Linked DNA regions of Caenorhabditis elegans. The protein of the gene in region 2 interacts with the protein of the main gene of each other region in a pairwise test. Each region holds a gene or a part of one and is shown on either strand. Other genes may lie near its edges. The genes, in order: meg-4, lin-56 and set-14.

What was found.
Region 1: the proteins of lin-56 (region 2) and meg-4 interact in a two-hybrid assay, tested with the Caenorhabditis elegans proteins (one large-scale study listed by BioGRID).
Region 3: the proteins of lin-56 (region 2) and set-14 interact in a two-hybrid assay, tested with the Caenorhabditis elegans proteins (one large-scale study listed by BioGRID).

What each region holds. Positions count from the first base shown.
Region 1 is NC_003284.9:1,679,407-1,688,082, forward strand, and holds meg-4 (J domain-containing protein), read left to right. Parts: upstream 1-3,547; 5' UTR 3,548-3,549; coding exon 3,550-3,607; intron 3,608-3,653; coding exon 3,654-5,124; intron 5,125-5,172; coding exon 5,173-5,256; intron 5,257-5,304; coding exon 5,305-5,451; intron 5,452-5,499; coding exon 5,500-5,634; intron 5,635-6,149; coding exon 6,150-6,427; intron 6,428-6,476; coding exon 6,477-6,802; 3' UTR 6,803-7,013; downstream 7,014-8,676. Other genes in the region: C36C9.11 (Transposase), read left to right, coding at 8,134-8,172, 8,224-8,276, 8,615-8,651.
Region 2 is NC_003280.10:10,446,468-10,453,805, reverse strand, and holds lin-56 (Protein lin-56), read right to left. Parts: upstream 3,800-7,338; 5' UTR 3,037-3,799; coding exon 2,863-3,036; intron 2,770-2,862; coding exon 2,563-2,769; intron 2,507-2,562; coding exon 2,402-2,506; intron 2,347-2,401; coding exon 1,864-2,346; 3' UTR 1,801-1,863; downstream 1-1,800. Other genes in the region: ZK673.4 (uncharacterized protein), read right to left, coding at 1-51, 499-659, 796-886; putative adenylate kinase isoenzyme ZK673.2, read right to left, coding at 3,933-4,050, 4,730-4,848, 4,899-4,997, 5,131-5,321, 5,388-5,529. UniProt on the Caenorhabditis elegans protein: Required for translation, stability and/or localization of lin-15a.
Region 3 is NC_003280.10:10,793,095-10,801,156, forward strand, and holds set-14 (SET domain-containing protein 14), read right to left. Parts: upstream 3,201-8,062; 5' UTR 3,195-3,200; coding exon 2,991-3,194; intron 2,937-2,990; coding exon 2,575-2,936; intron 2,379-2,574; coding exon 2,261-2,378; intron 2,207-2,260; coding exon 1,851-2,206; intron 990-1,850; coding exon 740-989; 3' UTR 501-739; downstream 1-500. Other genes in the region: vps-11 (Vacuolar protein sorting-associated protein 11 homolog), read right to left, coding at 232-398; npp-19 (Nucleoporin NUP35), read right to left, coding at 3,800-3,880, 3,924-3,990, 4,170-4,354, 4,405-4,796, 4,847-5,119, 5,169-5,242, 5,309-5,382.

The DNA.
Region 1 (8,676 bases), on a different chromosome or scaffold from region 2:
TATATGTCGTTAAGTTTGTTTTTTTCTAACCAATAAAATGTGTATATTCACTTCTTTTGCTCGCTGTCCAAAAAAAAGTTACAGTGCCCCAAAGTGGTCGCCATAATTATGGACCACCCTGTGAAAGTTTTAGTTTCAATTTGGAGAGTGTTGAGTTTTCAACTCATTGGAAAACGATTTTAAATGTTTAAAGTTGTAGTTAATAAAGTGTTCAAAACCACACGAATGGTGCCAGAATGACCGAATATAATAATGTAAAACTTTTCACAAAAAAAGTTTGAAAGTTGTCAAAAAATGACAGTTACTCAGTTGATAAATTGGAATTGCTGGTAAAGCCAACCGACAGCCGACCGACAAATTTTCGTCTGATAGAAAATTTATAGGATAGTAAAAATTTTAGCAGAGCTCGCTGTACCAGCTGAAAGCCGAAAAAATCAGTCAGCCGCACACTCCTATTCAATTTTTTTTTTTGTTTGTTTTAAGTTCAAATTCCACTCGGATTTCAATGGTTACTTAACTGTTATTTTACGTTCTCGGTGAAAACATTGTAAATGAGAAGCAAGAATGAGATACCATTGAATGAAAAACAAAAAATTAAAACAAAAAAGTGAGCAATAAGTGTTGTATATTTACGTATCATGATAAAAAATTCAAAAAAATTTTCTAGATTTTATATGATTTTTTTGAAAATTGCAAAAATCTCAGTTTTCCCCTAATTCCTATTTGAATTTCCGCCAATTGAATTCGTTCGCTGGAGCACACTTGCATTATTTTTATTAATTTATTATATTGTTTCTCATTATTTCACTGATTTTCTTCATTCTTTGTGTATTTTTATCGGAAAAAGAGAGAAAAATTCAAGATAAATGCAAATTATTTATTTAAAAATCACTGAAAATGGGTAAAACTGTAAAATTATGAGTTCCGACGATAGCAAGCCTGAAATTAGCTTATTTCACAGTTTCACCCATTCTCAGTTATTTTTAAATAAATAATTTGCATTTATCTTCTCTCTTGTTTTCCGATAAAAATACACAAAGAATGAAGAAAATCAGTGTAATAATGAGAAAAAATAAAATAAATTAATAAAAATAATGCAAGTGCGCTCCAGCGAACGAATTCATTCGGCGGAAATTCGAATAGGAATTAGAGGAAAACTGAGATTTTTGCAATTTTCAAAAAATCATATGAAATCTAGAAAATTTTTTATCATGATATTCGGTCATTGTGGTAACATAGGCGTGTTTTAAAACAATTTCCCCATTTCGAATTTGAACTCATTATAAATACTTGCTTGGCAGTTTGGGAATTTTGGTTACAACGCATATAGAGACTTTGGAAAAGTCTCAATATTTTATAAGAAAAGCCACTCTAGAGAGATCAATTGAAAATAAAAAATAAAAAAGATCCTTTGTATGCTGCTTGCAGCTTCTCCGGCGATCGATTTCATATAATTCATTAGTGACTAGGGGTGGCAAGAGTGCGACCTAGGTCGCTAGGTCGCTGTTTTCATTTAGGTCGCATTGCGACCTGCGACCTAGCGACCTGCGACCTAGCGATCTGGGTTGCATTGCGACCTGCGACCTAGCGACCTGGGTCGCATTGCGACCTGCGACCTAGCGACCTAGGTCGCATTGCGACCTGAATTACCGACATTTTGTTCTCTTTCGGTTTTGATTCACTTGAGTTGTTAAAATCCGTATAACTCGAAAACTGCATTGCGACCTGAATTACCGACAATTTTTATACTAACAAATTGCTACAAATCATTTATTTTACATTGTTTTCGATTTCTCATCCATAAGACACCTTGTCGAAAAAAGTTAGAACAGCCGACATCCGCCGGATTTGCTGCTTTTTTCTACGTTTTTAATTCGAAAAGTGGAAAATGAAATTTTAGAAACAACAAAAACCACAAAAACGTGAACTTTTTGAAAAAATTTGCTGAAATGCATGGTTTTATTTGTAGAAATGAATTCTTTGTTCCGTACTTTTGAAAAAAAACTACGCATAAACTTATAAAATCTTAATAGAGAAAATGTTAGTGGAATATATCATACATATTCTGCAATCTTTAGTTTTCGAGTTATACGGATTTTAACAACTCAAGTGAATCAAAACCGAAAGAGAACAAAATGTCGGTAATTCAGGTCGCGATGCGACCTAGGTCGCTAGGTCGCAGGTCGCAAAGCGACCCAGGTCGCTAGGTCGCAGGTCGCAAAGCGACCCAGGTCGCTAGGTCGCAGGTCGCAATGCGACCTAGGTCGCGATGCGACCTAACCCTCTAGGTCGCAGGTCGACCTAGGTCGACCTATAGCCACCCCTATTAGTGACTCATGCTTCCGGGGGGTGCATGGCTCAGTGCCTATGCGCGCTGCTTGCAATCACAAGGTCACAAGTTCGACCCCCACCTCCTAGGTCCTTCCAGCCTTAAATGGGAATTCAGTGTTCGTTCCACTGTCTTACAGCTTACATACGGCATTTATCCAGGCAAGACCTGTAGAAAAAAACCAAAAAAAAAAAAAAAAAAAAATTTTGCCACGTGGGGCAACCTGGCAGTATTTAATGATTTCATTTTGGTATTGAAACATGAGACAGTCTAGAAAATTAATTGGCAGAAGTTATCGACCACAGTCCTCAAGATTTTCATTTGATCCCACGTGGCAAACTGTTTGAGTTTTCTTCATTTTTTCTTTGTGTCATAATTTGAAATTTTACTTGCCACATTTTCAGACATTTTTCCGTAAAGAAAATTGGCTGCTCACTTGGAAACGCTGAAATTAGTCTAAAAATCGATAATTCAGTATTAATTTTAACTTACTTTACTGAAACATTACTGAAAAATGTATGAAACTGTGAAAAATTAAAGTTTTAAGTTTTAAATCAAAGAAAATATTAAGAAAAATGTCAAAGATCAGGTCAATAATTTGCGCTGGAATTGAAAAATAATTCGGCCCTTTTTTTTTGCAAAATTGAAAAAAATCATAAAATTTCAAAGAAAATGTTCGGAATTTTTTTACAGTTTTATTCGATATTTACATTGAAACTCTATTTTGTCATTAAGGTACAAAAAACCCACAAACGCTACTCCACCTTTAAACTAACAAGTACACGGAACCAAAGATTTTTCCTTATTTTTCTTCTTCTCGTGTTTTATTCAGTGATTATCTTTCCGGTCACCAATATTCCAGAGAATTAACTATCAATATCCGACTTTTTACTCAACTGTTCCTCAAACCTCCAATACTCTTGAAAAACAGCCGGTACCATACAAACGTTTTGTGTTGTTTTGGTAATACCCCTGCCGCATTTTAACTGTGTTTTTGCCGCGCGCATGCATTCCCCTGACCGTTTCCCCACACACTATTTCGCGCTCTCTTTCTCTACCTCTCTCACTCTCTCACTTCTCGCACTCACTCACTCACAGGTCTCCATTCTTGCTTTTTGGTCCCACCGGTTTTCATTAATTCCTCTCTCCCTCATTATTTTCTTTACATTTTTACATTTTTACATTTTGTAATATTTCATTAAGTTTTTTTTGTTGCAGGTATGAGTTCTTCAAAGCTTTCCTCATGTGATCTGCCAAACTCCAGAGGAAACAGAGAAGGTAAGCATTTTTTAAATCAATTTTTTTCTTCAATTTGTAATTTCAGGTCACCGCTCTCATAGTCGAAGCAATTTGGAAAGTGCATCGAAAAATATGGGACACCACATTAGTATTGAAGAATTGTTTTATTCGTTCGTAAAGCAAGACGGTGTTCAGTCAACAAGCCGTGGATATGGTGGCAGATCTCACCACGGATCCGTGTCTTTTAACGGGAATCCTTCCATGAACGGCGACCAGTTGAATCACTCGATTAATCAATCGATGAATGCAGCTCGAGCTAACAGAAACGTCTTCAACTCATCGAGCATTCCTCCAACGGCCCCCGTGTTCTCTGCAGACTTCCGTCAAAACTCGCAGACACGCAATAACTCCAGCTGGAATCAACGGAACTTGTCAGTTTCCACTTATCAGTACAACACTCAGCAGTCAAATACAGGGCACAGTAGAAGCCGTCCGAATGGACAACTTGGCCGAAGCTTCTCGGATGGATCGAACAATCATGGCCATGCTGGGAATGTGTCATTCAGTGGGAGTTCCGTTCCAGCTGGGTTCCAGAAACAAGAAACCAAGGCTTACCAACAACTTCATGGAAATAAAAGCTTCAACGCTCAAGCTGGAGTTCAAGCTCCTGGAGATCACAAGGACAAGAGATATGGAGGCATGTTTGGAAATGAGCTTATCAATTCGATCAATTCTAGTTTTGGCCAACAGCATGATGTCTTCAAGCCGCGGAATTTGAACCAGAGCTTTTCCGGATTTACTATTAATGAAGCTTTAACAAGGAAGCATCATCAAGAAGGATCAAGAAACGATAGAAGAAGATCACATGGGAGCACTAATGTCCAGGATCGTGCTTTCTACAACACAGATGACAATGAACTGTCTGACGACGTGTTCATAGAAGATTCCAATGGTGTTGCAAACGGTCCAAAATCTGTCACTAACAAATCTCAACAACAGTCTCGCGGAACGAAGGATGCTGGCAGTCAAGTGGCGGAGAAACTGAACTCTTCCAGAGGAGCTGCTCAACGTAATCTGAAATCCAATGTGTTCAGCAAGGACGGCACCGAACTTTCTGTGGAACAGTTACTGGAAATTGTCAGCATGAAGATCGGACAACACTTGCACTCAGCTTCCAGTTCTCACGGAGAATGCAGCAATTTGAATCGGACATTACCAGCTAGAAGTGATCTAAATTGCTCAATTGGTGAAGACTTCGACTCCAGTTTTCTGGATGTAAACAATCGAACCCTGCCAGAAAATCTTTCGAAGAAAACTTCAGTGCAGAAACATCGTCGTGGAAGTTCTCGTAGTGCGTCCCGTCTCGCCAGTCTTGACGTGACGCTGGAGACTGTAGAAGAAGATGTCGAACCCACACCAAGTCCACATCCGAGTTCTCCTCCAAAGATCTCAAGAAGAAAGTGGACAGGAACTTTTGATGCCAACGTTGAGGAAATGAGACGTTTACTTCATGGGGACCCTGGGAAGCCGAAATCTACAAAACGTGCTTTCTCAAGGTATGTAGTGATAAAAAGTGAAGTATTTAGTAAAAGTTTGAATTTCAGCAAGGATCAGAGAACACCTTCCTTGTCAATCATCACAAGCCCGAAGGCTTTGATCGGAGAAAAATGTCTGACAGCATCCAACAAGTTAGTTTTACACTTGGAGCTGCTTTTTTCATTATGTTTGTATTGCAGGTCTTCAAAGATTGACAAGTCACTTGGCATGATTGATTCGAAACTCACAAAGTCACCAATGTACTCCGCCACGGTTTCTGGGAAGGAAGCAACTTCAGGAAACCGAATCGCTCGAAAGTTGACTCCAGGGCTTGATGGACTGAAAAGGTATGGAACTACAAAGAACAAACAACATTTTTAAATGTTCTTTTCCAGCTCTCATTGTACCGGAAATCCAGTTTCCATAGATTGTAATGGTTGCCCAACTCCGAAAAGAAGTGGAATCAATTGTGATAATCGTATGGCTGAAGTGAACAACCAAGCCGGGAGATGGTCCTCTGAAGCCACCAGGTAAGGCCCAAATCAATAAATTCGCAATGAGTTTCGTATTATATAAATTTCTGAATTCTCAAAAAATCGTGGATCAAACATATGGAAAATAATGTGCAAGTTGAGTAGATTGAGGTCAAGACTAGACCTCTCGAGTAAAAAAATAGAGCATTAATCTTGCACAACTCCGCAAAAAGCCCTCTGCTTTTGTCTATTGCCCAGAAGGTGTGCGGCAAATTTGTACGGTTTTGCCGAAACAACTTTGCCGAATTAGCCTAATTTGCCGTTTGCCGAGCTCAGACAATTTTGATCAAAGCTATGGATTTTGTCGCCAAAAATTTAGTAGTGCTCGGCAACTTTTGAGATTTTCCACACATCCCTGGAGCCCAGTCTAATCACTTGATATTATAATTACTAAACGGTGAATTGCGAGCCCGCTAATAAATTTAATTTCCTCAGAATATATAAATTTTTGCCGCACAGCTTGATTCGATTTCTGTAACATACTTTCCAAGTACAATTAATTTTTTTTTCAGTCAGCCTGCCCCACTCCCTTGCAAGTCAGCCAACCCGACCGAAGATTCTTCTCAAGATGCACCTCCAACTTCACCACCACCTCGTATTTCTGATAGCTTGACGGCATTCCTGGAAGCTCAACAAGACTTCAATGATTATATTGATGCTCACTACAAAGAGAAGACACAACTCTTGAAAGTGAATTTGAATATTCACGGGATGTCACCTGAAAGATGGCTGTACTTGAATTATTTTTGCACCGAGACAATTCCAAGATTGGATGGTCCTTATGCCGATGGTAAGAAAGATAAGACATATTTAATCTTGAAAAACGTAAATTTTTTCAGATCCAAGGGTTCCACCTGTGCGAAATATATTCAGAAGATGGTTTCTCCGGTTTGCTGAAGCCTGCTTAGGAAATCCAAATGACCTTGCAGTTCAGAAAGATATTGCTCTCGAGTTCGTTCAGGCTCGGCTTGACGATACGAGCAGCTCCACAGATTCCACCAATATGCTCTACATGTTGTGGAAGGAGTGTATCGGACAGAAGAATATCATCTCAATTGCTGATGCGTGTCTCCTTGTATATCTTCGGAAATCGGATCCTGTCAGATACTTGAATGCAAAACGAGAATGGCTGGAATCTATTTTTGACCCACCCAGAGATCAATGATTGTACTGATATATATCTATTTCATGTCGAGTATTTTGTATTTTATTCTTGTTCATTGACCTTTTAACCACTCTTTTTATACTCCAACTTGCTCCTTCTTGTGAATTTATTTATGGTCTGCCCAGGAACTTGTAACGGGTAGTTTTCTATTGTTATCAGGACTGCTGCTCATTCAAAATTCAAAGTTGAATTTCAATAAAGCGAATGTTTGAAATAGGTATATAATTGGCAACTGATTAGTAGAAATATGTCTCTTCTTTGGCTTTTTGTAAAAGTTAGGCAAAAAAGTGGTCACGGATTCAATTTCAAAAGCGATGCTTCAGACTTATCCGCTACGATAGCGAAGGTTCCGTTTGTACTGAAAAACACAGTAGAGGAAATTGGTATAGGCGCGTATAAATAGAATTCTAGTAGTTGACTCTGAAATATAAAAAGTTATTAACAATCCAAATTGGCAATTACTGATTATAAGGATAGGAATGTTAAGTTTTCTTAATACTACTAGATACTACCCTCTACATTTTTATTGATAGGCATGCCTACTTGCCTGCCTAACTTCATTTGAAGGTCTTCTCTTTGAACGTCCACTTGCGCCATTTCCCGCCTTAAACTTGTTGTGTTTTCCTTGGATGGCTATTTGACTAGCGATTTCAGCTTTCAAGAATGAAAACAATGTTAAGTGCTGGCCTTAGATATCCAGTGTTTCCTGTGAAATTTCATTTCAGTGGCAGCATGCCAGACCAAATCCAAAAAAACCAAAGGGGAAATTGTTAAAAACTACTCCTATGATCCCAAAATGACAAATTATCATAGTCAAAATTTTCTAGAATATCGCTTACATCCGAAGCCTAAGCCTACGCCAAGGCCTAAGCCAAATCATAGGCCTACGCATAGGCCTAAGCCTAAGCCTGATGAAATAAAACAGTATAGTTTCATTTAAATGAAACACCAGAACCATCAAAAACACTTGATTTTTTTTCAAATTTTTTTTAAACTAAAATATTTTTAAAGTTCGAAGGAAAACTGTTTAGCATCTTTTTCTTTTTGTGTGTCACTCTACATTAATATAAAATTTTATTGCAGTCCGCTACACACTTTTTCATTGTTTTTGTTTCTCTGCTCCTCTACTTTCTTATCAAAATTTTTTCCCGGAGGTATCATTTGGTCTTCCTGCGGCGGCTTGTGTGGCTGGCACCACCATTTTTTTCTGGATTAAAACAAATTAAAAAAATTTATGTATTGTATGTGTGGTGAGTTTTAAAGTTATATTAGTTTCAAGAAGCTAATTTTCATTACTTTCAGAAATTTAATTTCTGCTATCCGCACCCCGAATGTCTACAAAAAATCTTCTGACTCAAGATGGTAAATTGGTGAGTTTTTGTATCAAAAAAGTTTCGAAAACCTTCAGAAATTAATTTCAGAGTAAGAATCGGCAAGTCGAGGAGAAAAATATCTTTAATGCAAATCCCACATTGTAAGTGCTTTTCTCGAAAATCTATAATAACATGGAATAAGGTTATGGAATAATGTATACATTAGATACATAGTAGCGTCCTATAAAAATACCAAACTGCCAAAAAATATTAAAAATTTTGAAACTTCGGTCTAATTAAAAGATATCAAGCAGATAAACGCTTAAGATTAGCCCAAAACTGAAACATTTCAATTTTGAACAATCGTTAGCTAATTAAAAACTACAAGCATTAAACCGACTCCAAAATACCATTAAAAAAGCTCACGAGAATTGCGCCAGTAGCCTTCTTGGATCATTTCCAAGTAGGAGCCTATGTCATAATAATACTATATTTTCAGAGTGAATAAAATTGTCTGCGACCTCGAATCATTCTGAGACTTTTGCGAAGTCAACAAGGACA
Region 2 (7,338 bases):
TGTAGTTTGATTGTGGAATCGCAGTTGCTCATCGGATGGCTGGCAAAGCATCTGAAATAGAAAAATTTAATAATTGAGAAATAAATTTCACCTTGTCTAAAATGTGGGTTTTTTTAATCTCAGTTAACGTTTTGGTAAATTGCCAAAATTCCACTTATACTTTACTTTTACAAAATTTGGAATTAAAAAAATAAAAAAATAAAAAATAAAAATTTAGAAAATTATTGCATATTTAAAAATAAGTATTTGGAACGTAATCAACAAATTTTTAGAAAAAACCGATGTTTTTGATCGACTTCCAAAGTTGAAAGTTTTGGTAAAATGCCAAATTTTTTATAAAAATTGGCTGTTTTTAATGTTGAACATTTTTAAAACATTCTTTGATGAAAAAAATAACGTTTTTTAAACATTGTTTTTCTCACTGAATAATTTAATTTTTCATTGAATCTTGCCCGATTAATGTGAACTGCAATTGTATCTATAATTAAGAATACCTACATCTGCTTTCAGTTCCATTTTTTCCACTTTTGGAGCCACTGGGAGTACTGTAGGTGGAGTAGTTGTATTGAGAGTAACTTGCGGAGGCTGTGATCCGTCAACTTCTGCAAACTCATTTGGATGTAACCTTTTCATATGTTTGATCTGTGGATACGTGGAACCTGAAAAAATACTGAAATTGATGGAAATTAAAAAAAAAAAAAACTACGGTAGCTTTTAGATTCAGAAACTATATGGTTTTGCTCTAGAGATTTACAGAAAGTCGATCTCTAAAATGTTTTTTTAAATCCAAATCACCTTGTTGTCCTCTTTTTCCGATATAATTACAAATTTTGCATCTAAATCTTCCTTCTTCTATAGCATCGTAGAACTTTGCAATTTTAGACATCTGAAAAAAGAATTAAAATAATAAAAGGAAAACTCAGATATTTATCTACAGAAAAAATGAAGTGAGGAAAAACTAAGAATTGAGAGAATGTGGGTATAATTGCCGGTTGCTAGGTTACGGCAACTCGGCAATTACCTTCTCGGTGAGCCACCACGATTTTGGATCCACATTCCTGTTCATAAATGCAGAGTAAGTTTGAAGATGAAACATGTCAAGTCATTCGGCAACCCGGTTGCCGTGGCTGGCAATTGGAAAATCAATACGTATTTACCAAGCACCGACGACCACCGACTTTTTCGGCACACTCAGCGGAGCGCGTTTACAATTTGGTGTTCGGCTGTGTGCGCGTTCAGTAGTCTTCGTGTTTTTTGCAATAAAACAAAACATTTGGAAATCTGAAATATTTCTCGGGCATTTCCAGCGCTAAATAACTCGATACAAAATATTAATTGTGCAAAAAATAGATATATTGTAATTTCACAAGATTTTGACATTTCTTATTAAAGGCGCACGGATTCATCCAGATGGGTCTCGGCACGATAAAAGTTGATGGTATTATTTTTTGTGGCAGCTTTCTAGTTTATTCTCCTTGCATTTCTCAATGAAAAAACATAGTTTTTTGCGAATTGTGTTGCTTTCTTTTTATTTCCTGGCCGACAAACAGAAAATCACACATTTTTTGATGAAAAAAAATAGTTTTTGTAATGCGAAAACTGATTTAAAATAATTTTTAACAGAAAATGGATCAAAAACGGCAAAAACTTTTTTGCGTGCCAAGACTCATCTGGATAAATCCGGGCGCCTTTAAGAGGCACATCAAAATCATGCGAAATTACAACAAGTCCTGAAAAATTTATAGATTTGTGCACTCTGGAGGCTAAAAGATTCGATTCAATGTATTGGTTGTGCAGGAAAATTGTTATATGGTTTTATTGACAAAAACAAAAAAAATTTCCAAAACGTTTGATTAAATAAATTCAGGCTTCATCATCCTCGCTGTCGGTGATCGGCGCCCAGTATCCCTCTTCTTCAACGTAGTCCTTTTTTCCTGGCTTTTCATACTTTTTGTCTGAAGCTTCATCTTTCAATTTGTTGCTATATTTGTCCATTTGCTCCACTTTTTCAGGAAAACCATTTTGCTGCAGTTTTTGGGACGAATCAATTATATCACTTGAAGAAAAGTCGGATATAGTTTTGTCAAGTTCATGAGTTTCAATTGGTTCCAGTTTTACCTCCACTAGGTTTTCAGAAAACTTCGATTTCTCTGCAGCTTCTTCTTGTGGGCTCTCCATTTTAATTTCTACGTTTTCTGAATCCATTTCTTCAAAACATTCATCAAAATGAGAAGATTCTTTATCCTTTTTGTCGTCATCAATTTCACCAAAAGTATCCAAAAATGATTGCAATATTGATTTAAAATTGCGCACATCGAACTTTGTGAACTGCTCGCCCAGGGAAGACTGAAAATTTTTATTTTAAATTTAACTTTATTAAATTTCCAATTAAATAACTTACTCGAATCATCGTGTAGACTTTGCACCAACGATTGGCAAGACTGTATTTTGCATGATGAGCACAGTAGGTGTTCTCGATTTGCAGTCCTTCGAAGATGACATGGAACTGGAATTAAATCTTTTTTTTTAATTTTTTCCTTTTCAATTTAAATTAAAACTTACAATACTGTTGAAATGTTTCGTGCATGCTCGAAGACTCTCCTTTCGAATTTGATTAACTGCATCACTTGGATCTCTACAGTAACCAATTACTGTCGCTGTGAGAATAATTGAAGCATTATCGATGCTTAATGTCACTGCGGAATCTGATTCAGTTTCCATTCCACACACAATGCAACGAATCGGTGATTTTAGCAATAATTGTTTTTCCTGAAATACATGTTTTTAAATTATAATATTAAAACTATTTACTTTTTCAAGTCTCTGCAAAAAATCTGCAAAAAAAAAATAAATAAAACTCACAATTTCTGGAACCGTTGGAATTGGAGCCGTGGGATTCAAATACGCAAAGAACTCCAAAAAGCTGTCCATATTCACTATCGTCGCATTCTGCCCAGTCTTTTCGATGAATTCCGCCAATAATCGGACAGTAGTTTTGTTGAATTCAGCGGTTCGGTACATAGCATGGTGATCCATTTTTTAAAGGTTTTTTAATTGTAAAAATGCCACAAAATATCTAGTTTTTTGCAATATAGATTGTAAATTAAACGAATGAAGGAGAGAAATCGGGAAATTTCGTTTCTCTCCTCTGCGTCTCCCATTTCTTTTGAATTTTCAACAGAGCGCGTTTGCACTCTCTTTACTTGAACATATTTTTTGCGAGGACATTCATTATTTCCTTAAATATTACAGACTCGAAATGTTACAATTTTTCGTTAAAAATTTGGTACTTGGTCTCGACACGACTAATTTATGTTTAACGAGAAAAAGTATGCGCCTTTAAAGAGTACTGTAGGTTGAAACTCTCGTTTATTCCCAATTTTTATCGATTTTTTCGATTCTCACGATGTGTTAAAAATTAATGTCTTTATATTGTTCAGTTATCGAGAAGTTGTCGTGTCGAGACGAGGTACCGTATTTTCAGCGAAAAAGTCGTCTCTCTCTGTCTTCTCTTCTATCCTGTAAACATGAAGCCTACGGTCAAAATCCGCAAATGAAGAACTTGAAAACAAATTTTAGAAATATGAAAAGATTTTCATTTACACGCAAAAATACCCATAACTTGAAGAGAAGAAAATAAGAAAACAAATAAATGAAAAATCATGTGTATAAAATCATGTGTGTCGTGTCGAGAAAAAATTTAAGAAATATTGGATTTCAAAAATCCGTTTTCAGATATAGGAAAATTGTTGGATAACAGGGGAAAACATGGGGCAAACCGAAATAAAGCGTTCATGGAGAAAGGAAGAGAGAAGAAAAAACAGCAGAATTAATTCGATTTTCTAGGGAGACTAACCCGTAATCAAATGGTTCAATGGGTGTTCAAAGGTCTGGATGGTTAGAGAAATAGGATACAGTATTCAGTGTAGAACTTATGCGTATGCAGTTCTTGGAGTTGTCGTCAAAAGATCACGACGCATCACTTCGGCAACCGACTCGAATACGGCTTTCGATGATTCACCAGACATTGTGATGCACTTGTTTTGCTTCCTGGAAATGAGAAAAGTGTTAATTAAGTAAATTTAGCTATTTGCCAATAACGCTCTCAAACAATGTCAATGAGATCGTTTTTTCAAAAAATAGCTTACTTTTATGAAAAAAAGGTACAGGTTTGTTGAAGACAGAGGTTTCAATCTTGAAAATTAGGCAGTCTAATCTAATTTTTGATCATCTAAGTTTTCAACAAGGATACTTCATTTTCTTGAAAGTGAATTATTTTCTGAACAACGGTCACATTTTTTGATTACCCATAAATGTATATTACATAGAAGTGGAATTTTGAGCGAAATATACGGTACCCGGTCTCGACAGGACAAACTTATGTTGAATGGAAAAATGTGTGTGCGCCTTTAAGGAGTACTGTAGTTTCAAACTTTAGCCGCAGCGGAATTTTCATTGATTTTTCGAATTTTTTCATTTAAAATATAAATATTTATTTGCAAAAACAAATTAAACGAACGTTTATTACAGTTAAAATTCGCATCCAACTAAAAATTGTCGGTTTTTGGTTTAAAAATTACAAAATTTCGTGTATGGTTAATAGGAGAAATTTTTAAACCCTATTACGTAATGGAATAATCGCCGAGGCAAAATAATTGCTTCGAAGAATTTTTATGTTTTTTTTTCAACATTTCAACATTTTTTATAGATTTTCAAAAACAAAACTCACTTATAATAGTCCAACACCTTGTTTTCTGTCTTATCGTAAACCTCAAGCCTCCTTCTTGCCACCTCCAACTGATCCGTGCTTCGCTTGAACAGTGGCTCTCCCGTGATATCGTCTTTGCCCTGTAAATAATTCATTAAAACAGGAATTAATTTTTTTAAAATCGGCTGACCTCCTCCTTTGGTGGATTCACTTCCAAATTGTATGCTCTTCCGGATGCTGGATGCACCAATTGCTTTGACAAACGATCGATGAGCACTTTGCGAGGAACCTTTAAAAATATTTGTTTTTTTTTCGTTTCTTGTTTAATTTTATTTCAAAAACCCACTTTTAAAAATTGTTTTTTTTTTCAAAAACCCACTTTTAAAAATTTTTGTTTTTTTTCAAAAACAAAAAACACAAACCTTCAATTCAACGATCAAATTCAACGGCGCCTGCTCTTCAACCATTTTCAGCTGGCTCATGTTTCGTGGATATCCGTCGAGAACGACACGTGGTCCTGCTTTAAGCATCTCCGCCAGTATGGCTCCGTTCAGAATACTGTCTGGAACGTGCTCGCCCTTGTTGAGGAACGATTGTGCACGAACTCCGAATTCTGCAAAATTTTAATGGTTTTTTTAAACTAATTTTCTTTTAAATGGCAGAAATTATCAATGCTTACCTGTCCCTCTGGCAATATGATCGCGAATAAAGTCTCCAGCAGCGAAATAATTGAATCCTAGGGGTTCGAATTCTCGCACGAGCATTCGTGCAATTGTTCCCTTTCCGCTGCCAGCAGCACCACTCAAAAGCACTCGATACATTAGTTTTTCGGCTGAAAAAGTGGAAATTAAAGTTCTGAAAATCATAGAATAGAATAATAAAGTATAAAGAAGCAATTAAAATTGAGTAAGGATGAATGTAATAAAAGAAAATCCCAGAATTATATAGTTTTAAAAGGCTTCTGACTAAACGTATCAGTAAAACTAGAAGGTGATAAATATATTATTTTGAGAAAACTTGAGAATAGTTCAAGCAAATTTGCAAAGAAAAGAACATATGTGTTTTAAACTCCACAGATATCCGATTGCAAGCAGAAAACGTGCCAAACTCAACGAATCTTAAACTCTAACCGAATGAGTTGAAAAACAGAGAAAAAAAAAGAAGAAAAATGTTGGCTACCAACAATTTAAAGCCATCCATGCAGTGGTCGTCATGAGAAGAAAGACGCAAATGACGAGTGATTTGGCGGAGGAACAGAAGAAACAGGCCGAAAGAACGAGCAGACGTGTGACTGTTCATGGAATATCACAGTTGACCAGACTGGATGGGAAAAAAACATCGAATCATGAGCTTCTGCCGTTCTTTCTCACATTCTTTAGACGTTCCATGTGCACTGAGATAGGACATATGATTCCAAGAAATATGCGAATTTTCTATCAACAACGTCAGTTGGTTCGAAAAAATTTAACAACTGGAAGCATGTCAATGTGACGCCACGAGAATGGCTCGTCATCAAACATTTTTTCTGCAAAAATGATAAGAAAATGAGTGCACACCACATGATTAGGCTTCATCATGGTTTTACACTATGATAACATGGGGGAAACCGATCGACGAATCAAATTAAATCACGATGAAGAGATACGGAAAAACAGGTTCTACAGGGTGCAAAGAACCTAGGTCATTCTTTCGTATGTACTAGATAACCATAATATTAATTGCTGGTGGTTTATTGCAGATTGTGAATCGTGAGGAATGTATTCATGAGAAGATCAAGGACTTTTTCTACAATATTCAGCCAATACATCGGAGTTAACTCTAAAGACAACTATGTGATGATAGAATCAAGATCACCAGGAGCCACGTGAGCAATGGCACCTGATCAGTTAGAAAGCTAGAACACCAACTGATGCCATCGAAACTTTAGAGGTTAACGGATATCCGACCTCCTTCTGGCGCCAAACCAAACCATATGATAAGACAGCAAATACGACCTCTTGGCACCTGAACAGTATGTGTGCTCCTCCGCTCTCTGCATAAAAATGAAATTAAAGCAAATATTTGCCGATTGGAAGCTTGAAAACTCTAAATTTACACACTCTCCACTTTTAAATTTTCACGTGAGCATTTTCCTAGAGAATAAAGAAATTGATTACTTAAAATTGGAATAAAGTGTTCAAAATGGAAAATGGTTTGACAGACATATAAATGAAAAATAATAGCGAAATTTCATTCGACCTTCACACTTGTTTGGCCTACACTGTCACATTACTGGTATAAACTAACAACATGATGTCATCGATGAAAGATACTTTGGACTATTCCATAGAACTAAAATTTTAGGATAGATATTTTAAAAACTAGATTATTTGGATTAGAGTAACTCAAACTTTAGGGAAGTTTGCACGGACAACTTCATTTAATATTATTCAATTTTTACCAGCGAACATTCAAAAAAAAATTGTTTGAAATATTTCTGTGATCTTTGTGATAAAGCGGTTTGACAAAAACGTTCGTCGGGTCAGATGGAAAAACGAAATTCAAAGTTTAAAATCGCAATTTCTCTCCGATCGGTTTCTGACAGAAAGCTCACATGATTTTTCTTCGTTGTTTCGTTTTTCGCCTCCCGA
Region 3 (8,062 bases), 340 kb from region 2:
AAGTAAAAATTGAATTTTTTAGTTTTGGAAATATTTTTTTTTGGTTTTTTTTGGCAAAATTTGAATTTTGAAAAAAAAAATTTCAGCTTTTTTCATTTCAGAACTGGAATTTTTAGTTTTTTCGGCAGAAACAGATTTTTTTTTGGCAAAACTGGAATTTCCTTGGTTTTTTTCGGCAGAAATGGAATTTTTTACAGAATTTTTGTTTTTTTAATTCAAAAAAAAACGTACTGAAAAACGCCGCCCTTGGCTTCTCCAAGATACACAGATCCTCCAGAACTGCACCAACAATCAACTGCCACATCTTTCAAACCCATAAATTTCTGCTTTGGATCATCCTTGTCGAATACCACTGATCGATCGAAAAAATTGAATCGACGCCACCCGAATTCCGTCATTCTGAATTTTTTCTAAAGTTTTAGAGGAATTTGGCGTTTTTAAAGTATTTTTAATGTGGTTGCCAACATTTAATGTAACAAAAGTAGAAAAATTGCGTAAATCATCAATTCAAACATTAATTACCGAGTTTGATTAAATTTTCAGAAAACGGGAAAATCATTGAACAAAAAGGGAAGATGATGGCAATAAAACATGTCAAATTTGGGAATTCACAACCGAAATATACAAGAATATTATAGAGAGTTGGGGAGAAAAGATGAGGTAATAAATAATATTTTGCATAACAAAAAATAAGGAAAAATTGCTGAAATTTGTAAAAATACACATTATGATACACATTTTAGGATAAATTTCGAGCTTTTAGAATCATACAATACACGTTTCTACAAATCATTGAATCAGGTGTATAAATCTTTTCCAGTGGTTCTTCAATTTCTTGGAGCAATTTGGTCGCCTGTGTCTTTGCTCCGGCAGCGCAAAATAGTTGGGCAAGTTGATATTTTTGGAATAAGATCGCCGGATCAGTGGTGTTTTGGTAGACGAGCATGATGGAGAGAAGGGTTCCGCCGGTTTTGGCAGCGGCTGTGATACTGAAAGAAAACAAATGTTTTTTGGTGGAATTTTTTGTAATTCAGTTAATATTTATTGGTTTAGAAGCGTAAAAATGTAGTTTTTTTTAGAAAAAAAAAACAGAAAGCAGTAGAAATATAGCTGTAAAAATTTATAAATTTTCTCCAGATTTGTTACGATTTTTTGTCAATTTTTTGAAAAATTTTCAAATGGATGTAAAAGTAAAAGTAAGGTGTTTGTTCTTTGGTTATTGATTTTAAGCAAGATTTCTCAATTTCTCGGACATTTTTCCACAAAAATAATTATGAATACATGTCAAATTAACGATTTTTACACCAATTTTGAAGTGTTCTTTATGAAAAATTGTCTGAAAATTTTAGAAATGGTTTTTAGAATCAAATATTCATGTAAAGAACAAGAAAAACTGACGAATTTAGCTAGAAACCGCAAAAATGCCGAAATTATGTCATTCATGGGAAATCGAAGAAAAAAATTTTCGAAAAATTCTATAAATTTTTTTTAACAGTTATATGTCGGTTTTTCGATTTTTTTTTAAATCGAAAATCGAAAAATTCTCGATTATCCGATATTTCGTTTTTTTTCGGTTTTTTTAAAATTAGCTTAAGAATATATTTTTATGTTTTTTCTCATCAATATAAACAAAATTAGATGAAAATCACATTTTATGCTTAATTTTTTGAATTTTTATTTGATTTTTCGGAAAATCGAATATTTATTTTATTTTTGTTTTTCGTTGTTTTTAAAAAAAATATGTACAAAATGATAAGCCAATTTTTTAATTTTTTTTTTTGGGAAAATTGAAAAATCTTTAATAATTTCTAAAAAATTCTCTACATTTTTTAACAGTTAGAAATTCTTACTTCTGTGCCGCCAATGAGCAAATATACAAACATCTGAGCACAGGAATACGATGAACATTATGATCATGTAACGTGTCTTGAAATAGATCTAACAATTTTTCACACAAATTTCTCTTCGTCTCCAACGGAATCGCATCATTCGCAAGTCTCGAACGTGCGGCGATGCCAGCTTCCTCTGCCGTTCGACACAATTCAAAATGATCCTTGCTCATTGTCCAGCCACACAGTTCACATTGACCATTTTCCTTGTTTCTCATCCATCCTTTCACACAAATCCCGCAAGTCCAGGCTTCCATTCGTGCGTTTCGGTCTTCATCAAGACAACCATCACATTGGCACAGGAATTTGTATTTTTTCTGGAAATTTTGAGGTTTTTTTCAGGGTGTGTTGAACCTCCTGTAATCTCCTACTTTTAATGTATCTCTTCTCATATCTCTTGGCATTAGTTCGTCTATATAAGAATGACAAGCACCTTCCAGTGTTGAAGGAAGTTCACTTGAAACTGGAACCAGCATTGCGGTACGATTTCTGTAAAATTGGATTTTCATAGTTTCTCTCACGATTTGTTATGTTTTTTTATCGTTTTATAAAAGTTTAAAAAACATTAAATAACTATATTTTATACCTAGAAACTACGAAAAATTGAATTTAACCGAAACTTGTCGTGGCGAGACCGGCGCCGGTCGGCAAAAACCTAAAAATCTAAAAATTTCATGGCATTTACCTATAACAAACTCGAGTCAATGGTTTGCAGGAATGATTAGCTGCGCTCAGCTTAATGCACAATCCAACACCGATTGGATTTCCCGTGGAGTTTCCAACTACAAAACTATTTATCGAAACTTTTTGGAATATCAATTTGATCAAATCTCGATCTGGATGGGGAGCTATCGCAAATTGAAAGTATTCTTTTACAAAAGACTCTTCATCGGCGTCATATGATGATGGATGATGCTCGAGATTTTGAAAATTGCGAGCAACACCCGGAATATAGTAGGCTTCTATTTCTCCATCTTCGTTTCTGCTCAACTTTCCGGCAATTCTCATTACGAGTCGAATCGAGTCGTTCGCAACTTCATTATGAGTCTGAAATATGAAAATATTAGAAATAAATTGTAATATAACCATGAAATCTCCTACTTTAATAGCTTTACACTCCACTTTATGCAGCTTCCAGTCAGCTCTTTGACATTCTTGTGAGCAATAAGCAAGCCGTCGGCAGGCGCTGCACTTTTTGAGTTCTGCCATACTCGTAAGGCATTGATTACAATATGATTCGACTTGATCTCGTGCAAGAGCAAATGCGTACACATTTTCGTGGAGGGCGTCTGGGGGAAGATTCATTGGGAACTGAAAGAATTATTTGAATAATTTTTTTTTAACGGGTTTTTTAAAATTAAATTTTATAAAAAAAATTAAATTTAAAAAAAACTTCATCGATTGTAAATAATTTTCTGAAATTAAAAATTGAAGAAAATGAGAAAAATCGATAAAAGAATCTCTACAGTATTTTTAAAGGCACACACCCACACACAATTTTCAATGTCATTCGTGCCGAGACCATTCTGCAATAATGCGCCCTTCTTTAAACTCATAGAAGTGAATTTGTTTAATCGATGTTTTTCAGTCAATAAAGCCTCATTTTTTGAAAAAATATTTTTTTCGAGTATTAGCAACTCGTCTTCTATAATCGACAATATAAAAATATGAGTTTTCTTCATTTCAATTCATAGAATCAGTTTTGAATGGGAATGGAATGGACGGGAAGAAGGGAAGGAAAAATGTCCGAAAATTGAGAATACACCGAAATAAATAAAATTATTTTGAGAACGAAAAACCGTGAGAAACGAAACTGTTTTCAGAAATTCGAAAAAGAAGGATACACAACAAAAGAAAAAAATGGTGAAATAAAACAGAAAAATGGGCGATATTTCCAATGAGCAAAAAGATTAGTTGAGTCCGATCGTGTTCCAGAACTTGTTGAGCAATCCGTCAGGTGCCTTGCGAACCGATGGGGTTCCCTGTAAAATCTTTTTTAATTGGTTAGAAGGATTGAATCAATGAAATGCTTACGTTTGTTCTTTGATCGGCAGCCAATGGTCTCATTCCGACACCAGAACGGACGGAAATACGAGAAGAACTGAAAACATAAACAATTTTTTGTGGAAATATTAATTGAATTGTGAAAAATTAACTTTTTCTTTTTCACATTTTCAAAGTGGAGTAGCGCTAGACTACAAACTACAAACTTCGCTTTAGCAGATTCAAGTATAAAATTTAGATTTTTATGAATTTTTTACTAAAAATTTCTAATCATACTTGAGCGAGTTATTTGCATCAAAAACATTCGACGAGTTGAGCACACTGTTCTCATTGTGATTAACTGATTGATCGGCCATATCGTTCTCCACAAATGAGTTATACATGGAAGCAGATCGGTTTGCAGCTGCAGCAATGTTAGATGATCGAGCAACAATTCCGGATGCTGAGCCGTTGATCACGTCCTGTAAATTTTAAAATTAAAATAAAAAATAAATATATCCTTTTTACTTACCTTATTTGTGCACTGAACGACTCCAATAAATGTATCCTGATCGAGGAGAGTTCCGTTTCGAGAAATAGCTTGTTGAGCGTGTGTGACACACGAATAGCGCATATGTATGAAGTTTCCTTTTGATGGAGTCTGATGACTAACTACTTCCCCGTGCCGCGAGAATAAATTCAACAAAATCGACACTTGGCTTGGCTGAAATCCAAAAACAGTGACCCAGGTATCAGCTGCGTCGGCTTCTTCTTCCATTGGTTGTTCTTCTGCTTCAGCCAACCTGGATGTGACTCGTTGAGTGATTGGAGTGGAAAGTGGTGTTGATCTGGCAGTGAATGTATTTCGTCTGGAGATCTTTTTCGCTGGTTCAACTTTGTCGCGAAGAGATCGAAGAGGTGGTGCTGAAAATCAATTTTATTTTAAATATTCGCGAAAAAATGTAAATTCTAACCATGCATCGCTTGACCACCGAAAGATGATGTCTGAATCGACTGAGGAGCTGGCTTTGTCGGCGCCGAAAATGATGAATTTCCTCCGAAAGACAAGTTGGCAGGTGTATTCTGTGTTTGTGCCGCCGACTTTTCACCAGATTGCACCAAAGATGGAGACCAATGAACTGATTTAGAGCCCGGTGTATCCTTCAAATGCTGCGGCACTGCCGGTGCAGAAACAGCGAAAATATCCGAACATGGTGCCGATGCAGTGTTGAGCGGGCTAGCGGTGTCTAAATAATTATCATATTTTTGAGAAAACTTAAGATAAACTTTACTTACACGAAGATGGAACAGTTGCCTTTCGCTTTCCGAAAAGAAGTGCCGGCGTAGACTGTTCAACTGGTGTCCCGAAGCTAAAATTAGATTTTTAGTATTAAAAACTGGTTTTTTTTTTGCAAAATAAGAAACAAATTACTCACTTTGAAATACTAGAATTGTTGAGATCCATTGAGTTATGCCTTCCGGATGTATTTTGGTTAAGATGCGAGAACATGGCCTGAATTTCGAAATAAAATGCTTTTTAATTAAAAATTTAAGCAATAAACAAGTTTTTCAAATTTAAAATAAAGAAAGAATTGAAAAATACCGCTTTTTTAAAGTGGAAAACAGGTTCGAAAAGTTCCAAGAAAAAACATTTTTGTTTGAAAAATCAAAGTCCGCAACGACAAAACACGCAAAGCTACGCGCAATTGCGGACTTGAAAATGGAGGGAGTTTAAAATAGGGTTTTTGTGGTGAAAGTTTGCTGGGAGGTTTTCTGCGGGAAATAAAGAGAAAATTTTTTTTCTCTGATCGGATGTTTTGTAATTTTGATGAAGTCGATTTTCTGTTTGAACTTTGATTTTTTTTCTTCAACACTAGACACTGAAAAAAGTGAAATTCGTGTATGGGTTACTGTATAATACCGCCGACCCCTATAGTACATACCTATCCATAAAATATTGAATTCTAAAAAATTCTAGAAATTTAATTACACATTTCAGATGTTTTTGTTTTTATTTCCCTTTGACCTACTCCCTCGTCTAATTTTCGTTTTCAAATTTCAACGAGCACCACTCGTTTCTTCTCACTCCTCCTCGTTTTAATTGCAAAAAAAAACGGAGAAAATTGAGAAATGCACGACGACGGGGTCCCCCATTTAATTAAATTCCTTTTCTGTGTCGTCGACCTTTTTTTGTTGACCACACAGAGCACAACGTTCGGAGAGCTTCTTCCCGCCTCTTCATCAAATAAAATGAGAATTCATTCCTTTTTTGGGAAAGAAAAATGTTTCGTCGCGCACGACTATATAGCCCCCTGTGTCGTATAATATTTGCGGGTTGGTCAAAATGAGAAAGAAAAAAAACCAAAAGATGATGAATTGAATGAAAATTGTATTTAATATTAGTTTTCGGACCGAACCGGATGTAATTTATTTTCAGAAAATGTGGTTGGTTCTGACTGGAGCAGAAGTGGCGACCTGATGATGTAGTCAAACTTGCGCGTCAAATTTGGTGTTTTCGCCCCGCCTCTTAGAAGATGAGATTTTGATTTTTGAACTGAAACTTTCAAACTGTGATTCCCATAAAACCGTACGGAAATTACAATTTCCGTACTGTTACAAAACAAATTTTGGGATAGAGGGAATTATTACGTAGACGTCAAAATTGGGAAAATTTCGTAAAATCTTAGGTCTCGCCACGCCGAGTTACTGTAACTCGTCTCCATTTACGGGTAGCATAGTATCATAATTTTCAGATTTAATCGAAAATTGCTGTCAAGAATTTGAATATAATATTAAAAATGGCACAATATTGGTCCAGTTACAGTAACCCAATTTCAGCGTGGTGAGACCCGAAAACTTTCATCTTTAGACTACCACGTAATAACAGAAATTGAGAATAGAAAACGATGGTATTGGCCACACCCACATAACCGTGCGGAACTTGCAGATTTTGCAACCTCCGCAAGGTTCATTGAGCTCTCATTCTCATAACCGTGCGGAGGTTGCAAAATTTGCAATTTTCGCACACTCTTCTTCTCGTGGAGTACACATTCTCCGATTTCGAAATTTAAGAAAGTTTTTGGAGACGAGGTCACCTGGCAACGGGATCTATGAAGACTAGCGGAAGAACATTATAGCAACGATTCGTTTTTTTTTCGGCAATGTGTCCCAAGTGCATCCCTTTCCATCATTTTTCTTTTTTTATTCTACTCATCGTTCCATTCCACTTTCTTGTGTGTACGACAGCATTCATTCAATCCTAATTGGATGTGATCCTTCTGTGCCCCCCTCACTCACTCAACAAGTTGCTCTCGACGCTTCTTTTTCACATTTTTCTTCCTCTCTTCTTTCCTTTTAAAAGCACTCTACAGGATGTGTTGATGATGATGATGATGTTTTCTTTTTTCTCTATCTCTTCTCAATGCTTTTGAGATTTTTAATGAGTTCTAAAAATGGAAACGTGTGCAGCGCTAATAGAATTGAAAGCTCAACATTTTCATAATCACATTTTGTCTCAGGCCACCGAAATTAATATTAATTGTAAATTCTATATTTAAGACAAAGTTGCTCCTTTACAACACTATATACATTTCTCGGCCATTTCCATAATTATATTTCCCTTCGAATCAAAAGAAAAAAAACGGAATGAAAAAGAGCATTTTAAAATGAGATTTGCATCTTATTTATTAGTGGTCTCTGAGTTTTTATAATAAACGAGTCAATGGGGATTATACTACTGATGGAATGATCTGAATTTCTATGAAGCTGGGAGATCTCACTTGTCATTTGGAATGAGCATAGGTAAACGGAAACAGTTCGACGCCTACGTCATGCCTGCCTGCCTACACTCAAACCTTATGCCTATATATGTTTCTACACGCCTACTTCATACCTGCCTAACTATTCGCCTACTATATGCTTCTCGCCTGACTTGCCTAGATCATGCCAACCTAAGTACCTATCCTACCTACCTACCTACTTGCCCACCGCATGCCTACCTGTATGCGTACTTACTTGCCTACATTCCTTTCATGCCTACCTACGTGCCTATACGCCTATTTTGGACCTTGCCGGCTTGTTTGTTATCTGTCTGCTTCATGCCTGTCTACCTACGTACGAATAAAATATAAGAAAATGTTTCCATTCTATGATTGTGGCCGAGTTTTCTGCTTCCACGGCCACGTAGTTAA